2 linked regions of the Elephas maximus indicus genome follow. The protein of the gene in region 1 interacts with the protein of each later gene in a biochemical or structural test. Links are inferred from orthologs where the notes say so. Each region holds a gene or a part of one and is shown in the gene's direction. Other genes may lie near its edges.

Region 1 (7,231 bases):
AAACTTTATTTCTGTATGAAAATTAGACTTTAAAGAAGTAGCAGGTGATTTGGGTAGATTGTTGGCGTTGGGTGACGGAGAGTGGATTTTCAACTCACAGCAGCAGCTTTATCACTTGCATTTGTGGCCCAGGAGTTTTTGCTTTAGCAGCATAGAAATTAAAATTGGAATAATACACAGGCATGAAAAAATTGAACAGTAGAGAAATTCAGGATTCCACAGCCCACGTACCCCCTTTCTTAACCCTTAGAGTAAAACCACAGCCTAGAAATACTTTGCAGAAAAATTCAATTCAATTAAATAAATTATCATTTATTACCTATTGCTTGAATGAACATATTTTTTCTCTTTCTTCACTGCTTATCTGCATGAAAAGGTGTGCATAGGTTTCTAAGTATGATTTCGTTGTATTTGCTCTCATTGCATTCATGCCTGTAGGATCATATCTGAGAAGCAGGCAGAGCCAACCACATATTGCTGCATATTCATTGTTAGCATTTTTACCACGGAGGTGGTGGTGGTGGTGGTTCTGCATTCCAGTTGCCTGTTTTGCTTTCCCAAGAGAATTTCTTTGGAAATGTCAGAGACTGTCTTGGGGCATCTTTGAAGAGCTACTTAAAATGGAATGCTTTGCTCAACTTGAAAATGTGCTTTTAGCCCAAACTTTATGGAACCCTTTCTTGCTTATACAATATGAATCCAACCCCGTGGTGAATGCTTGGCTCATGCCCAGAACTGCCCGTTATGCCCATCATTGCCTCATTTTAGTGCTTAAAATTAACAAAAAAGAGAGGCATCTTGGCTCCTTTTTTAAAGGTAAGGAAACAAGGATCAGAGAAGTTGAGTAATTTCTCCAAACTCACCGAGCCAAACCACAAACCCAGCCCTGTAAGCTGCCAAAGTCTCTTTGCTCCTCAGACACCACGTTGCATCTCCCTTCTCTTCACTTAAGGTCCAATGGAAAGAGCAGAAGGGGTCAAGTTTCAAACAATAAGAAAAATTAAGAAATCTATGCCCGGAAGCAAGCAAGCTGGCCTCCTTCAACTGGCCACGATTCCTCCTCTCATTTCCATCCCTTTCTGCTGTTTGGCAGATTTTCTCTCCCCCACGCTTCCTCCTTGATCTTGTTTGAAACCTCTTCCCTGGTGAAGTCATTAAGTTCCAGGCCTTTAGTTTACTTTGGTCCATAATTGAGATGGAACCATATGTGCTGATGCGATTGGAACGATACAGTATTCCCTGGACGGCAGTAGAATTGTGGAGGGGTGGCGTGTGTGTTTAAGATTAAAAGACCAGGTGTGGGGGAGGAGCTGTAATGAACAAAAAAATTATTTTTTAAGCAAATGCTAAACCTACAGTTATGGAAAAAGTTCCCTTCCCATGAGATCCTCTCAAAGTATTTTACCATCAGCAAACGCAGAAGTTATTCTCCCTTTTCTGAGATGCAGCCGTCTTGAAACTAACCAGATACACACAGCATCACCAGCTCAGAAGTGCGAATAACCCCCGTGTACCAATTGCCCAAGAGGTCCCTGGGTGGCGTGAATGGTTTGCGCTCGACTGCTAATTGAAAAGTTGGCAGTTCAAACCCACCCAGCGGTGCTGTGGAAGATAAGGCCTGATGATCTGCTTGAATAAAAAAATTACAGCCAAGAAAACCCTATGGGGCAGTTATACTCAGCTATACATGGGGCCGTTATGAGTCGGAATCAACTCAGCGGCACCTGGTTTGGTTTCGCTGACCAGTAGCCCAAGAGGTTGATGTGGCTCAGTATTGCTGGTCAGCGTGACCACTTGCATCCCCATGGAAAGGTTCAACTATGCATCATGCTCCAGATAAAATGTAATTAAATTAGAAGGCATATCTCTTCAAATAAGCACTCTCGGGGCATACAGAAGTCAGTGTGAAGTATCTGGAAGAGGACATTTTTTGGTTCCTTGATAAATGGGAGGGTTAGATTCGGAATTTTCTTGCTACTTTCTCAGAAATGTAACTCTGGAATTTCTTACTGTGACTGGAGATTCTTGCTGCACTCTGGATTTTAATGTGTAAACACTTAGATGGACTTATTAAATCACTCCCTAAGGAGGAGAGGAGTGGACCAGCAACCTTTGCTGGTGACTCACGAGCCGGGTGGAAATTCCCTGAGCAGTTGATCGGAGCTGGGTGAATCTAAACAGTTAATGCACTTTCAAAAGCCTCTCATTTATTATTCCGGAAGAGTAATTTACTCACTAGAACTGTCTGGGTGATAACAAACACATTTGTATCCTTAAAAAGATCAGTTGTATTTTAAGATGACACATATAAAGCAAGAACAGGAAAGTCATTAAAGACTGACAGCCTGTTTCCCATTTTTGAGAATATTCATTAAAAGGTTCCTGCTGCAAAAGGGACAGAAAAGAGCCTGGAATCATGGCACAGTGAATCATACCGCAAACATGTTAACTCTGGCCAAGGAGAGGTCTATGAATAAAGCCAGAGAGGAGGTCAGCAGAGCAAGATAGAGACCAGACGGTGTTGGGGGAATTAGGGGACATGCAGCATTGTTCCCCAAGAGAAAAGTGAGCGTGTTTTTGTTTTTCACGTCACCTTTGTACCCACAGGCTTTTGATACAGACAGCAGTGCTGAAGGCACTGAGGAACAGTACAGTAAGTGGAATTTCTTTTACTAAACAAATCTGAGTCATATGGCCTCTGTCATTCCCAGACTACCCTCTGCTGCTAAGACCTTTTTGCTCCAGCCTTCCTTTCTAGCTCAGGGATTCTTGGCGTCTCTCCCTGTTATGAAAAAGATGAACTATTCCAGAAAGTTACATACTGTTTCTAACGTAATTTTCCTCTTAATGACTACATGATTAAAACACAATGTGCAGCAATTCCACTCCTGGGTGTATACCCAAAAGCAATGAAAACAGGGACGCAACCAGATACTTGTACACTGTAACGCTATTCCCAATAGCCAGAAGGTGGAAACAACTCAAGCATCCATCAACAGCTGAAAGCATAAACAAAATGTGGTAATCCACACCATGGAATGGGATTTCACCATGAACAGAAATGAAGTCCTGATATGTCCCACACACGAATGAACCTTGAGAACATTCTACAAGTCAGACACAAAAGGACAAATATGATCCTGCTTATATGAAATATCTAGAATAGGCAAATGCATAGAGACCTAAATAGATCTCTCTTTAGGGGAGGCAGAAGGGGGATGAGGAGTTATTGCTGAAAGGGTACTGAGTTTCTGTTTGGGATGATGAAAAAAAAATTCAAGGCAAATAATGGTGATGGATGCACAGCATTGTGAATATAATGAATGCCATTGACTTTTGCACTTAAAAATGGTTAAGTAGCAAATTTTATGATATATCTATATACCTACATCTATATATATATTTAGGAAACCCTGGTGGCATAGTGGAAACCCTGGTGGCATAGCGGTTAACTGCTAACCAAAAGGCCGGCAGTTCGAATCCACCAGGCGCTCCTTGGAAACTCTGTGGGGCAGTTTTACTGGGTCCTGTAGGGTCACTATGAGTCGGAATCAACTCGATGGCACTGGGTTTGGTTTTTGGTTTGGGTGGCGTAGTGATTACGTGCTACAGCTGCTAACCAAAGATCGGCAGTTCGAATCCACCAGGCGCACCTTGGAAACCCTATGGGGCAATTCTGCTTGGCCCAACAGGGTCGCTATGAGTTGGAATTGGCTCAACGGCAACGGGTTTGATTTTTGGTATATATAAAACAACCTAGGGAGGGGGGATACAGTGCAGATGAGATAACTGTATAAGGCACTAAAAATGTCTCCTTGGGCCGTGGGCGTCTGGAGAAGTTACCCTATAGGTTATGCTGTAGTCCTTTCTTGCTTCTTTTTTGCAATTGAGCGCTTTTCCCTCAATTTGGAGAGACTTTTGCTTCTCAGCAGGAGTTGTTCTCATCTCATAAGTATAAGGAACATTTGTAAATAACCACAATCTAGTTTGGCTTCTGAAAATTACAAGCCCTGTCTTAAAACTCAGAGAGTTGGTAACTGGAGAATTAGTTCTCTGGTCATATTGCTGTGACATTGTCTTGCCTCCTATACTTTCCAGACTTTTGCAGTGCTTTTTTTTTTTTTTTTAATACAAAGAAAGATTTTGTGTGAAGCATGCTCTGGCAAGTTGGCGTCAGCAGAGGAGAGACAGGGCTAGGAGGTAGTAGGAGGTAGTATCGAATTCGTGCTAAGGAGAACAGTCAGCCTGCACCTGACAAACCTTGGTTCTAAGGAAACAAAGTATAAAGCCAAGATTTCTATAAGTAGATTAGTTGATCACTCATCGTAACAAATCATCTTCAGCATATTGCAAAGGCATTGCTTTTCACTGTCAGGTTCTGTTCACTACGTTACAAAGAGGGCAGTTCAGAAGCTTTGATTCTTAGATTAATATTAGCAAACTAAGTGTACAGATTCTTCCTTCCTGGTATGCTGGTGGTGGAGCTCATGCTGCTTCTCTCCTGTAACCCATGATGCTGTGGGTTTAGAGACGAGAGCACCTGCTTAGGACAACTCCTTAAATGCCACGCTGTTCTGGCTGTCCCCAAAGTTAGTTGCACAGTTTCCCTTCCTTTCAAATAAACTGGAACAAAGACTGATATGCATGTGATTCTTAAGCCTGAAAATGATGCAGTAAAAACAAAACAAAAGAACACAAAATTTTTCTTTCACATAGACATTCCCAAACTTAAAAATAAAAAATACATTCAGCTAGAGGTGAAATTACAGAACTCAATTTTGAGGTTAGTAATTCTGGGAGGCAGGATGCTGAGGCAGAGATGTTTTGCGATCAGACAGGCTGATGTTGATAGCTCAGCTATAAACAGTAAACACTGAGTCTTGGGTCAGTTTTCCATCCTCACTTTCCTCACTTGTATGGTGGGGATGGCGTCCCCAGGTGATGCACGTGGTTCCTGTGCTCAGCTAATAACTGAAAGTTTGGAGCTTTGAGTTCACCTAGAAGTGCCTTGGAAGAAAGGCCTGGAAATCTGCTTCTGCAAAACCAGCCATTAAAAACCCTATGGAGCACATTTCTACTCCGACACACCACGGGGTTGCCATGAGATCGGAATCGACTCAATGGCGATTTGTTTGGGTTTATGGTGGAGATAATGATATCTCTCTGTCAGCATTGCTCTTGCATTGAAGTGAGAAAAGGATATACAGCACCTACTGTAATGGCTCGTGCATGGTAGGGCTGTATTCATAGTGAACCCAAATCCATGATTTCAGAGTTAAATGATGAAGGTCAGAGGAAAAAAAAAATCTCAGATTGGTTATATCTGCAGGAAAATGCTGTTATATCCTAAGATGCTTTCAGGATTAACTAGGGACACAGCAAGAATGCTACCCATGGAAAATATCTCAAAGTATTCCACTTATTAGAGGAAGTCATCAATATGGATAATGTACAGTCAAGCAAATAGATGCCTGTCCTAATAAGCAAAGTCCCTGAAAGGTTAATTAATTATTATTACCAATAATTATTGGTACATGATGTTGAAAACTTAAAGTGAGCTCTCTACTTTTACAGCTTAGTCAAAAGAACAGTCATAGTTTTGGTTTTGCCTTTTTTGTTTTGAAATATCTCGGTCTGAAAATTAAGTTTCCACAGGCAAAAATCCTCAACAAAACATCATCATTCTATTTTGCGTATTCTTCATAAACATCATACTTCATATCAAAACATTCTTCTGGGACTAGGGAAAAAAAAAAAACTAAACGCGTTGTCGTCATGTCAATTCTGACTCATAGTGACCCTACAGGACAGAGTACAACTACTCCATAAGGTTTCCAAGGAGCAGCTGGTGGATTTGAGTTGCCAGCCTTTTGGTTAGCAGCCAAACACCTAACCGCTGTGTCACCAGAGCCCCAAATACAGGATTCAGACATTCCAGTGGCAGCAGCCCCATTCTCTTTTTTATTTCATTGTTTGCTAGGGCTTTGGTTGTTTCTGGGGTAGCAGTTGCAGCTTAGGCTACAGCTTTCCTAAGAGATAGAGTGAGATGCAGAACAAGGTCAAACCAAAGATTGCTTGTGTCTGCATGTCCAGGGCACACTGATCTTCAGCCAGCTGAATCTTCCCTGAGTTTCTGCATTGATGGTGAGTGTTCACATTTCCTCACTCCAGTCTCTACTGAAGCCATCACCCAAGTAGCACAGTAGCAGTCATAACCTCCATGTCACCGATGTTGGCCGCAATATTTGAAGTAACCCCATCAACCAGGAGGCCATGTGCTATCACCATTTAAAAACAAACTCGGATAAAGCTTGGTGTAGAAAGAGAGGATCCCATGAAAAGGCTTTATCCACACTTACATTACAAATGATACTGTAATGGTGGATACATGACATTCGTCAAAACCCAGGGAACTCTGTAACACAATGGGTGAACCCTAATGTAAACTATGGACCACTGATACATTGTTACTAACAAGGTTTTGATATTGCTTCATCGATTGTAACAAATGTACCAAACCAATTCATGATGTTGGTAATAGGAGAAACTGTGTGCAGGGGCTTGAGGGAAGATATAGAGGAACTCTGTACTGTACTTTCTGTGCAATTTTTCTGTAAACCTAAAATTACTGTAAAAAAAAATTTTAAGTCTTTTTTAAAAAGCAGCAGAGGTAGGGATAGGAATGGGTGGTTTGAGGGAAGAATGTTTGGAGGAGTGCAATGAAAAATCATTTGTCCATATACTTGGAGTACAGAGGCCTTGCTTTATTTCTGAGCTTCTAGGACTCCCTGGGTCTGAGGCATTGGTGGTTCGGTGGTGGAATGCTTGTCTTTTATGCTGGACACCTGAGTTTGATTCTTGTCCTGTACATCTCATGTGCAGCCACCACCCATCTGTCAGTGGAGGCTGGCGAATAGCTAGGATGCCAGACTGGTTTCGGTGGAGCTTCCAGACTAAGATGAACTAGGAAAAAAGGTCTGGCACTCTAACCCTATGGATCACAACAGTCTGATCTGCAGCCCATCAGGTCCACTGTGCTCAGGATCTCCCTGAGTCGGGGGCTGACTGGACAGCAGCTAACACCACCACCAAAGAAGACCTCTTTGGGAGAAATATTCGCTTGTTTTTGCTACTGTTTCTTCAGAGAAAAGCCATGAGGATGAAGTCTGCTTATAAAGCGGTGTGAGACGTTCACTTCCAGACTGATTACAGAGATGAGTGAATCTTTATT
Region 2 (7,437 bases), on another chromosome or scaffold:
TGGTCATGTGGAAGCAGACGGAGCAAACCTACTGGCAGGCCACACCTTTCCGGGCTGTTGCCCAGCCTGGTCTGCAGCTCAAGGTCCCCAGTTGCCCAGACTCCCCCACCCAGAACCCCTTCCAAAGTTTCCCCTCTAACTCTAGGACCGCCCCCACAGCCTGACTGGGAACCCCTTTACTCAGACACTTGGCCTGGAGGTCTGCTGTCTGAGGCACCGGAACCTTCTCCTGATCACGCTCTTTCCCCAACTACACTTACCACCTGTTTTCGCCCCTTACTCTGATTCCTGTAGTTGACCCATTGGCTTTGTCATTGCCCCCCAGGCAGTGACATCAGTGTCTGGGCCAGGCGAACACCTCCGGAATGCCCTGTGGCATACCGGCCACACCGCTGATCAGGTACGGCTGCTGTGGACTGACCCACGAAATGTGGGCTGGCGTGACAAGACCTCCTACCGCTGGCAGCTGCTGCACCGGCCTCAAGTTGGCTACATCCGGTGAGGGGAGGGGCTGAGCTCTCCTAGGGGACCCCAGGCCTGGTCTTTCTTTCCCCTTTAGCTGAGACTCACCGGTGACTCCTCTTTCCTCAATTCCTTGGTACCACGGGCCAGGACTGGGCTACTTCTATCATCCCTCTCACCACAGACATGCCACCTTGGCTCTGCTTTCCTCCTACCATCAGGCAGCAGGGGCTCTGGCTGGTCAGGCTGCAGGGGCTCTGGCTGGTGCTGCCAAGGACTTATGTGCAATGTTGGGCAAGTCCCTCCTCCTCTGGGCCCCATTTCCCCTCAGTAAAATAAGGGTGTTAGGCTAGATGGCCTGAATGATTATCTGGGATTCTCCAAACCCCAAACATGCCTCATTAAGTCTGACCTGGAAGGGTTCATCATTTACAGAAGAACAAACCCAGGCCCAGACTTCACAGCTCTGAGTAGCAACAGCTGAGGCCTCTCAATTCAGCACTTTGTCCATAACTTTACATTTTCCTCAGACAAATGCCCCCACTTGGTGGGGAGCTGGGGCTGCTAACTGCAGAAAGCCACTGACAAGCAAAGGAGGGGAAATGGGTCTGACTGGAGGTGGACTTTCTAAGGCCAAGAACCCAGAGTCCAGGGATCTGGGTTAGTTCCCCTTTAAGGTGCCTGGGGCTGTGGGGGGCCAGAGCAGGGGATAAGGGAGGGGTGGACTAGAGCCTGGGAAGCGGGTGACTTCACCCCCCAGCCCATTGTGCTCATCGTCATGGCAACCCAATCCTCGCTTGAAATGCGGCTGGTGCTTTGAGATGCAAAGGGGGCTGGACAAAGAGCCAGGGGCCCCAGGCCTGAGAAAAGCACCCCCTTCCCTCCCCTTTCCTTTCTCCCTCCCCCTCCCTCCCTTCTCTCTGCAGCCTGGTGAATTCAAGGGGGACTGGGGGTGAGCAGGACCAGGGCATGGTGGCACAGTGACCACTGGCATCCCAGCACCAATGGACCCCCTTTCCTGGACAGGGTGAAGCTTTATGAGGGTCCCCAGCTAGTGGCAGATTCTGGGGTGATCATTGACACATCCATGCGAGGGGGGCGTCTTGGTGTATTCTGCTTCTCCCAAGAAAACATCATTTGGTCCAATCTCCAGTATCGATGCAATGGTGAGGCACTAGACCAAGATCCACCTGACCCCTCATGCCCTTGTGAGAGAGCCACATCTTCTGACCTTACTCATTTCCCCTTCCTCAGACACAGTGCCAGAGGACTTTGAGCCATTCCGGAGGCAGCTGCTCCAGGAAAGGGTGTGAGGAGGTGGCCACCGGATTCAGAATCCTGATTTTAGACCCTTTGGCCTCGGGGTCCATCCTGGAGACCCTAGGGTCTAATCTGCAGCCCCTCAGCCAAACACAGACCCTCCTTTGGCACCCACCAGGAGTTCAGCCCCATAGGGGTTGGGGATGGGACATTTTCAAGGGGTATTTCTCAGGCACTCACCCCAGAAAAGGTAACACCCCAGGAAAGATAACAGCACATTGCCATAAAGTTCCAGTTGTTTTCTAACCTAGTGCAATTGCTTATTTTAGGGATTTGCCGGGATAGGTCGGGGAGCAGGAAGGAACCTGAAGGGGAGAAGGGAAGAAGCTTGGTAGGACAAAAGTTAAGAGATCTAGGGGAAATTTGGCAGAGTTTGGGGCGCAGGTGGGGAAGGCGCCGGATGGGGTTAGGTGAAGGATGAGATGCTGCTCGGAGGATGCCTACAGCCCTCCCCACCCTACTTACTCACGGCGGCAGCGGCAACACTCCAGTCTGTCTTAGATAGCCGGGGTCGAAGCCAGGAGAGCGGAAGCTGCCCCGCTGAGGTAAGGGGGAGGCCGGGGGGCCGGGGGGGCCGGAGGCCGGGACGAGTGCAATATTGGCGGGGGAAAGAACAACACTGCACCGCGTCCCGTCCCTCCCGCCCGCCCGGGGCCCGGGATCCCGCTCCCCACCGTCTGAAGCCGGACCGGCCTGAGAAACGGGGGTGGGCTGGGAGTTGGGTTCCCCTTGAAGGCCAGAGAGATTTGGAGCCTGGAGTAGGGTAAAAGGAACGGGAAAGGGGATGAAAAAAAGACCACGAGACCCCGGAAGGCCGCTTTCTGATGCCCGGGCGTTGCGCGCGCTTGCTCTTTAAATACTCAGACTGCGCGGCGCAGACTTGTCGCCATGGTAACGCGTGTCCCAGCAACCGAACTGAATGGCTGTTGCCTGGCAACGGCGGGGTTGGCGCTTGGGGCCGCCCACCTAGATCCTCGTGCTGTCTGTAGCCGGCGGTGGGGGGGCGTCCCCGCCTCTCCGGCCCGGGCGCGCTGACGTCAGCCGCTCCCCCTGCCCCGCACCCGCCCCCGGGTCTCGCGGCCGCACAAAGCGGCGCAAACCAGGCCGAGCAGCGTGCGGGCGGCAACGGTGGTCCCGTGCTTACTGGCCCGGCTTCCCTTCAATCCTGCGCCGCACCGAGGTGTTTTTGAAGTATTATTTTTCAATCTGTACTCCTTGGGGATAAAAATGTCTTCCTAATACAGACGTAACTACTTTTATCAGCCTTAGACCGCAACTCGGGACCACCGAACGGGGTCTGATACCCTGAGCTCCACGTGCCGCAGTGGCTTGATACCTCTCTGCCCCCCCCCAAATTATTTCTGCCTTTCAAAATACCTCTCGGTCCTCCCAAATTACGCACCCTCACATACAACTCTGCCCCCCACCAAGTGCCTGCCTTCCCCAAATACCAATCTAGTCTCCAAGTTAGTTCTGTCCCCCAAAATGCCTTCACATACCATTCCGTCGCCCCACCTACTCTTCGCTTCAAATACGTAACTGCCCCTACATATTTCTGTCCCATTCCCCCTCCCACATTGCGATGTCGTCTCCCAAGTTACTCGGTGCCCCTTTCACAAACCTCAAGACCCCACCCACTTACCGCCATTTCTTCCAGACACTGCCCCACGCGCCCCAGAGTCCCCTTCCTGAAGCGCCCAGCCCCTCCATCGCACAGCACTTTCCTTCTCTGCCCCTGGCATTGACCCTTCCGTCGGGGCCCTGCCTTCTGCAGCTCTCTCCAAGCCCCTCTCAGGCAGCACAGCCCAACCTCCTCTCCCCGGACCGGGCCAGTCTCTCAGCCCGCCCGGGACAGCCCCGCGAGGCTCGCGTGACCACTAGAGGGCAGGAGAGCGGGGCCAGCAATGCTGGCCGTCCGCGCTGGCAGGTGGAAGGTGGAAGGCTGGGAAGGAAAGACCCTAGGGTTCAGCGGAGCCCAGGTTTCGTCCTTCTTTACGTGGAAATTTCTTTCCCCGCCCCCTGTTACGGAGAAAGCCAAGCAGAGAGCCAGGATGCTGGAAAGTCTGGCCGGGGCGGGGACTACAGGTTTCGGGGTAAAACCGCGTGTGGAACAGGACAGGACAGGGAGCGGTTAGAGGGGTGGGGCTATTCCGGGAAGTGGTAGGGGGGAGGGAGTCCACAACTAGTAGTCAGTCCACTAATTATTAAACCCTTTTTATTTTTTTTCTCAGTTCTCAGAGTGGACCCAGTAAGAGTGGGGATATGAGAGTGGAGGGTTTAGGGGTGGGCTTCTGAGCCTTGCTGTCTAGGACCTTGACTTAGCCCATTTTCTCTGTTTCCTTCTCTCACCCTAGCTGTTGTTCTGGACCCAAAACTGGAGCCATGGGGACCCAGGTCCCAGACTCCCTCCTTCCCATCTCCTGCGGCTAGGGAGTGGTTGGCAAAAGGGGGAGGCCAGTTGGAGAGCAAACAAGTTGTCCAGAGGGTTGAGTGATTGGAGCCAGTGTACCTGAGGGGCCAGGAGTAGTTGGGGAGGAGGAGGAAGAGGTAAGAGGTAGGAAAAGGGGGAGGAGGTGGTAGTTTGTTACCTGTCACCTGCTCCTGCTGGGCCTAGGCGGGGCGGGGGACCGGTATAAAGCAGCAGGCAGGCACCTGTGCCCGCTCCACCTCACCTCACACACAAGCAGTGCCTGCCTGAGTCTGCTCTGCCCCCTCCCCAGCCAGTTCACCACCACCATGACACCAGTCATCCAGTCCCATTTCTTCCTCCTGCTGTTACTCCCAGTGCTTACAGGTGAGGGGTACAAGGTGGGGAGGGGGGTTGTCTTGATCATGCCATTTCCTGATGTTTCTGTGGGCTTTGCTTCCTGGCAGATAGTACCATGAGAGGCAGGAGTTGTAGACAGGGGTGGCCCAGTCTGAACCAGAATGAAGGGGAGAAGACGAGGCTAGGCTGAAAAGAGGCGGCCCCCAGGAAAGCCGGTGTCAGGCACAGGTGAATGTCCTGGAGAGAAGTCTTGGGGGGAAGGGAAGTCAGGAGAGGTAAGTCATGGGAGTGGAGAAATGCACAAGCTGGGAGCAAAGGGGCACTGAAGGGAGAGGGAGGCTGCTGGCAGGAAGAGCCAACCCAGGGGCTGCCTGGCCAGCGGCCCACTCCCCAAATCCTCCTGGCATTACTTCTCCAGTTGCCAGAGGTTGTATTTTCTTCTTGCTCTGATTTGTCCTCCAATTCCAACCCTGTGGCCTCAATTTCTTACACCTGCCACCACCCCCACTTCCGTAACGGTTCTTACAATCTCTGGCTCCACAGCTCTCGAACAGAGCGGAAGTCCAACCCACTCTGGCACCTCAACCCAGACCACCAGCCCTGCCTCCGGCTCTATTACCACTTCAGTTCACCATGGCACCTCCACCCTGGTCACCAGCCCTGCCTCAGGCTCAACCACTCCAGCCCTCAGCAGCACCTCCACCTCGACCACCAGCCGTGTCTCCAGCTCAGCCATCCCTCCAGTCAGCAATGTCACCTCTGCCACAGCCACCAGCCCTGCCTCTGGCTCTATTACCACTTCAGTTCACCATGGCACCTCCACCCTGGTCGCCAGCACTGCCTCAGGCTCAACCACTCCAGCCCTCAGCAGCACCTCCACCTCGGCCACCAGCCGTGTCTCCAGCTCAGCCATCCCTCCAGTCAGCAATGTCACCTCTGCCACAGCCACCAGCCCTGCCTCCAGCTCTATTACCACTTCAGTTCACCATGGCACCTCCACCCTGGTCACCAGCACTGCCTCAGGCTCAACCACTCCAGCCCTCAGCAGCACCTCCACCTCGGCCACCAGCCGTGTCTCCAGCTCAGCCATCCCTCCAGTCAGCAATGTCACCTCTGCCACAGCCACCAGCCCTGCCTCCGGCTCTATTACCACTTCAGTTCACCATGGCACCTCCACCCTGGTCACCAGCACTGCCTCAGGCTCAACCACTCCAGCCCTCAGCAGCACCTCCACCTCGGCCACCAGCCGTGTCTCCAGCTCAGCCATCCCTCCAGTCAGCAATATCACCTCTGCCACAGCCACCAGCCCTGCCTTAGGCTCTGTTGCTACTTCAGTTCACCATGGCACCTCCACCCTGGTCACCAGCCCTGCCTCAGGCTCAATCACTCCAGCCCTCAGTAGTACCTCCATCTCAGCCACCAGCCGTGTCTCCAGCTCAGCCATCCCTCCAGTCAGCAATGTCACCTCCGCCACAGCCACCAGCCCTGCCTCCGGCTCTATTACCACTTCAGTTCACCATGGCACCTCCACCCTGGTCACCAGCCCTGCCTCAGGCTCAACCACTCCAGCCCTCAGCAGCGCCTCCACCTCGGCCACCAGCCGTGTCTCCAGCTCAGCCATCCCTCCAGTCAGCAATGTCACCTCTGTCACAGCCACCAGCCCTGCCTCAGGCTCTATTGCTACTTCAGTTCACCATGGCACCTCCACCCTGGTCACCAGCCCTGCCTCAGGCTCAACTACCACTCCAGTTCAACATGGCACTTCCACCAAGGATATGACCCCAGGTGGCAAGAGTACTCAACCCCCAGTTTCCAGCCAGCACTCTGATATTCCCACCACCCCTACCAGCCAGAGCTCCAGAACTAATGCCAGTAGCACTACCCGTAGCATAGTTTCTCCTACCTCCTCCAATCATAGCACTTCTTCCCAGTTATCTATTAGGGTCTCCTTTTTCTTCCTCTCTTTTCGCATTTTGAACCTTCAGTTTAACTCGTCCCTGGAAGACCCCAGCACGAACTACTACCAAGAGCTGCAGAGAAACATTTCTAATTTGGTGAGTATTTGCCTTTCCTCCACCATGCTGCCTTGAAGCGGCCAGTACTCAAACCTCTAGCATCAAGCCTAAGTCCTTTCCCACTCACCTCAGTTTTCACAGATCTATGGAAAGGATTATCTGGGCCTCTCTAATATCAAGTTCAGGTATAGTGCTGGGCAGTGGACTCCGTGTGGGAGAGGGTGGGTGGATGTTGGCACGTCTGTGGGGATGGACTGGTGCATTCGTGGTTGTGGTTGGGAAGCATGTGCTGAGGCAGAGTTGCCCATCTCCCTGTGACCAGTCCAGGATCTGTCATGGTGGAATCAACTCTCACCTTCCGAGAGGGTACCACCAATGCTGACAACGTGGAGATGCAGCTTGGTCAGCATGCAACAGAAGCAGCCAGATATAACCTGATCATTTCAAGAATCAGTGGTGAGGCCACTTCCCCAGCTGCAGCCCAGCGTCACACCAGGGGCCCTCTCCTCCAGCACCTGGGTTCTGACTCTTCCCTTCTGAGCTGGTGAGGGAAGGGTTGCCCCCTTTGGGAGACTGCCCTGACCACTACTTTTCTTTCTAGCGCATGAGGTGCCTTTCTCTTCCTCTGCCCCACCTGGGTCTGGGGTACCAGGCTGGGGCATTGCCCTACTGGTGCTGGTCTGTGTCCTGGTTGCACTGGCCATCACCTATCTCATTGCCCTGGTAAGTGCTGTTTCTGGCCCTGACCGAGTTGCCCTGCCAGAGGGAGTCCCATGGTCCACCAAAACACCCTCTCTCCCCAGGCTGTGTGTCAGTGCCGCCAAAAGAGCTGCGGGCAGCTGGACATCTTTCCAACCCGGGATGCCTACCACC

What was found.
Region 2: of the proteins of EGFR (region 1) and MUC1, one has a biochemical effect on the other in vitro, tested with the Homo sapiens proteins (2 studies listed by BioGRID). The link is inferred for Elephas maximus indicus from reciprocal best matches to the Homo sapiens genes EGFR and MUC1.

Annotation. Positions count from the first base shown.
Region 1 is NC_064826.1:107,230,756-107,237,986, reverse strand, and holds the start of EGFR (epidermal growth factor receptor), read left to right. Parts: upstream 1-4,210; 5' UTR 4,211-7,231. UniProt on the Homo sapiens protein: Receptor tyrosine kinase binding ligands of the EGF family and activating several signaling cascades to convert extracellular cues into appropriate cellular responses.
Region 2 is NC_064821.1:193,099,398-193,106,834, reverse strand, and holds the start of MUC1 (mucin-1), read left to right. Parts: upstream 1-4,437; 5' UTR 4,438-4,518; coding exon 4,519-4,576; intron 4,577-5,092; coding exon 5,093-6,603; intron 6,604-6,696; coding exon 6,697-6,749; intron 6,750-6,886; coding exon 6,887-7,020; intron 7,021-7,165; coding exon 7,166-7,287; intron 7,288-7,367; coding exon 7,368-7,437. Other genes in the region: THBS3 (thrombospondin-3), read left to right, coding at 1-83, 326-498, 1,489-1,628, 1,717-1,775. UniProt on the Homo sapiens protein: The alpha subunit has cell adhesive properties. Can act both as an adhesion and an anti-adhesion protein. May provide a protective layer on epithelial cells against bacterial and enzyme attack.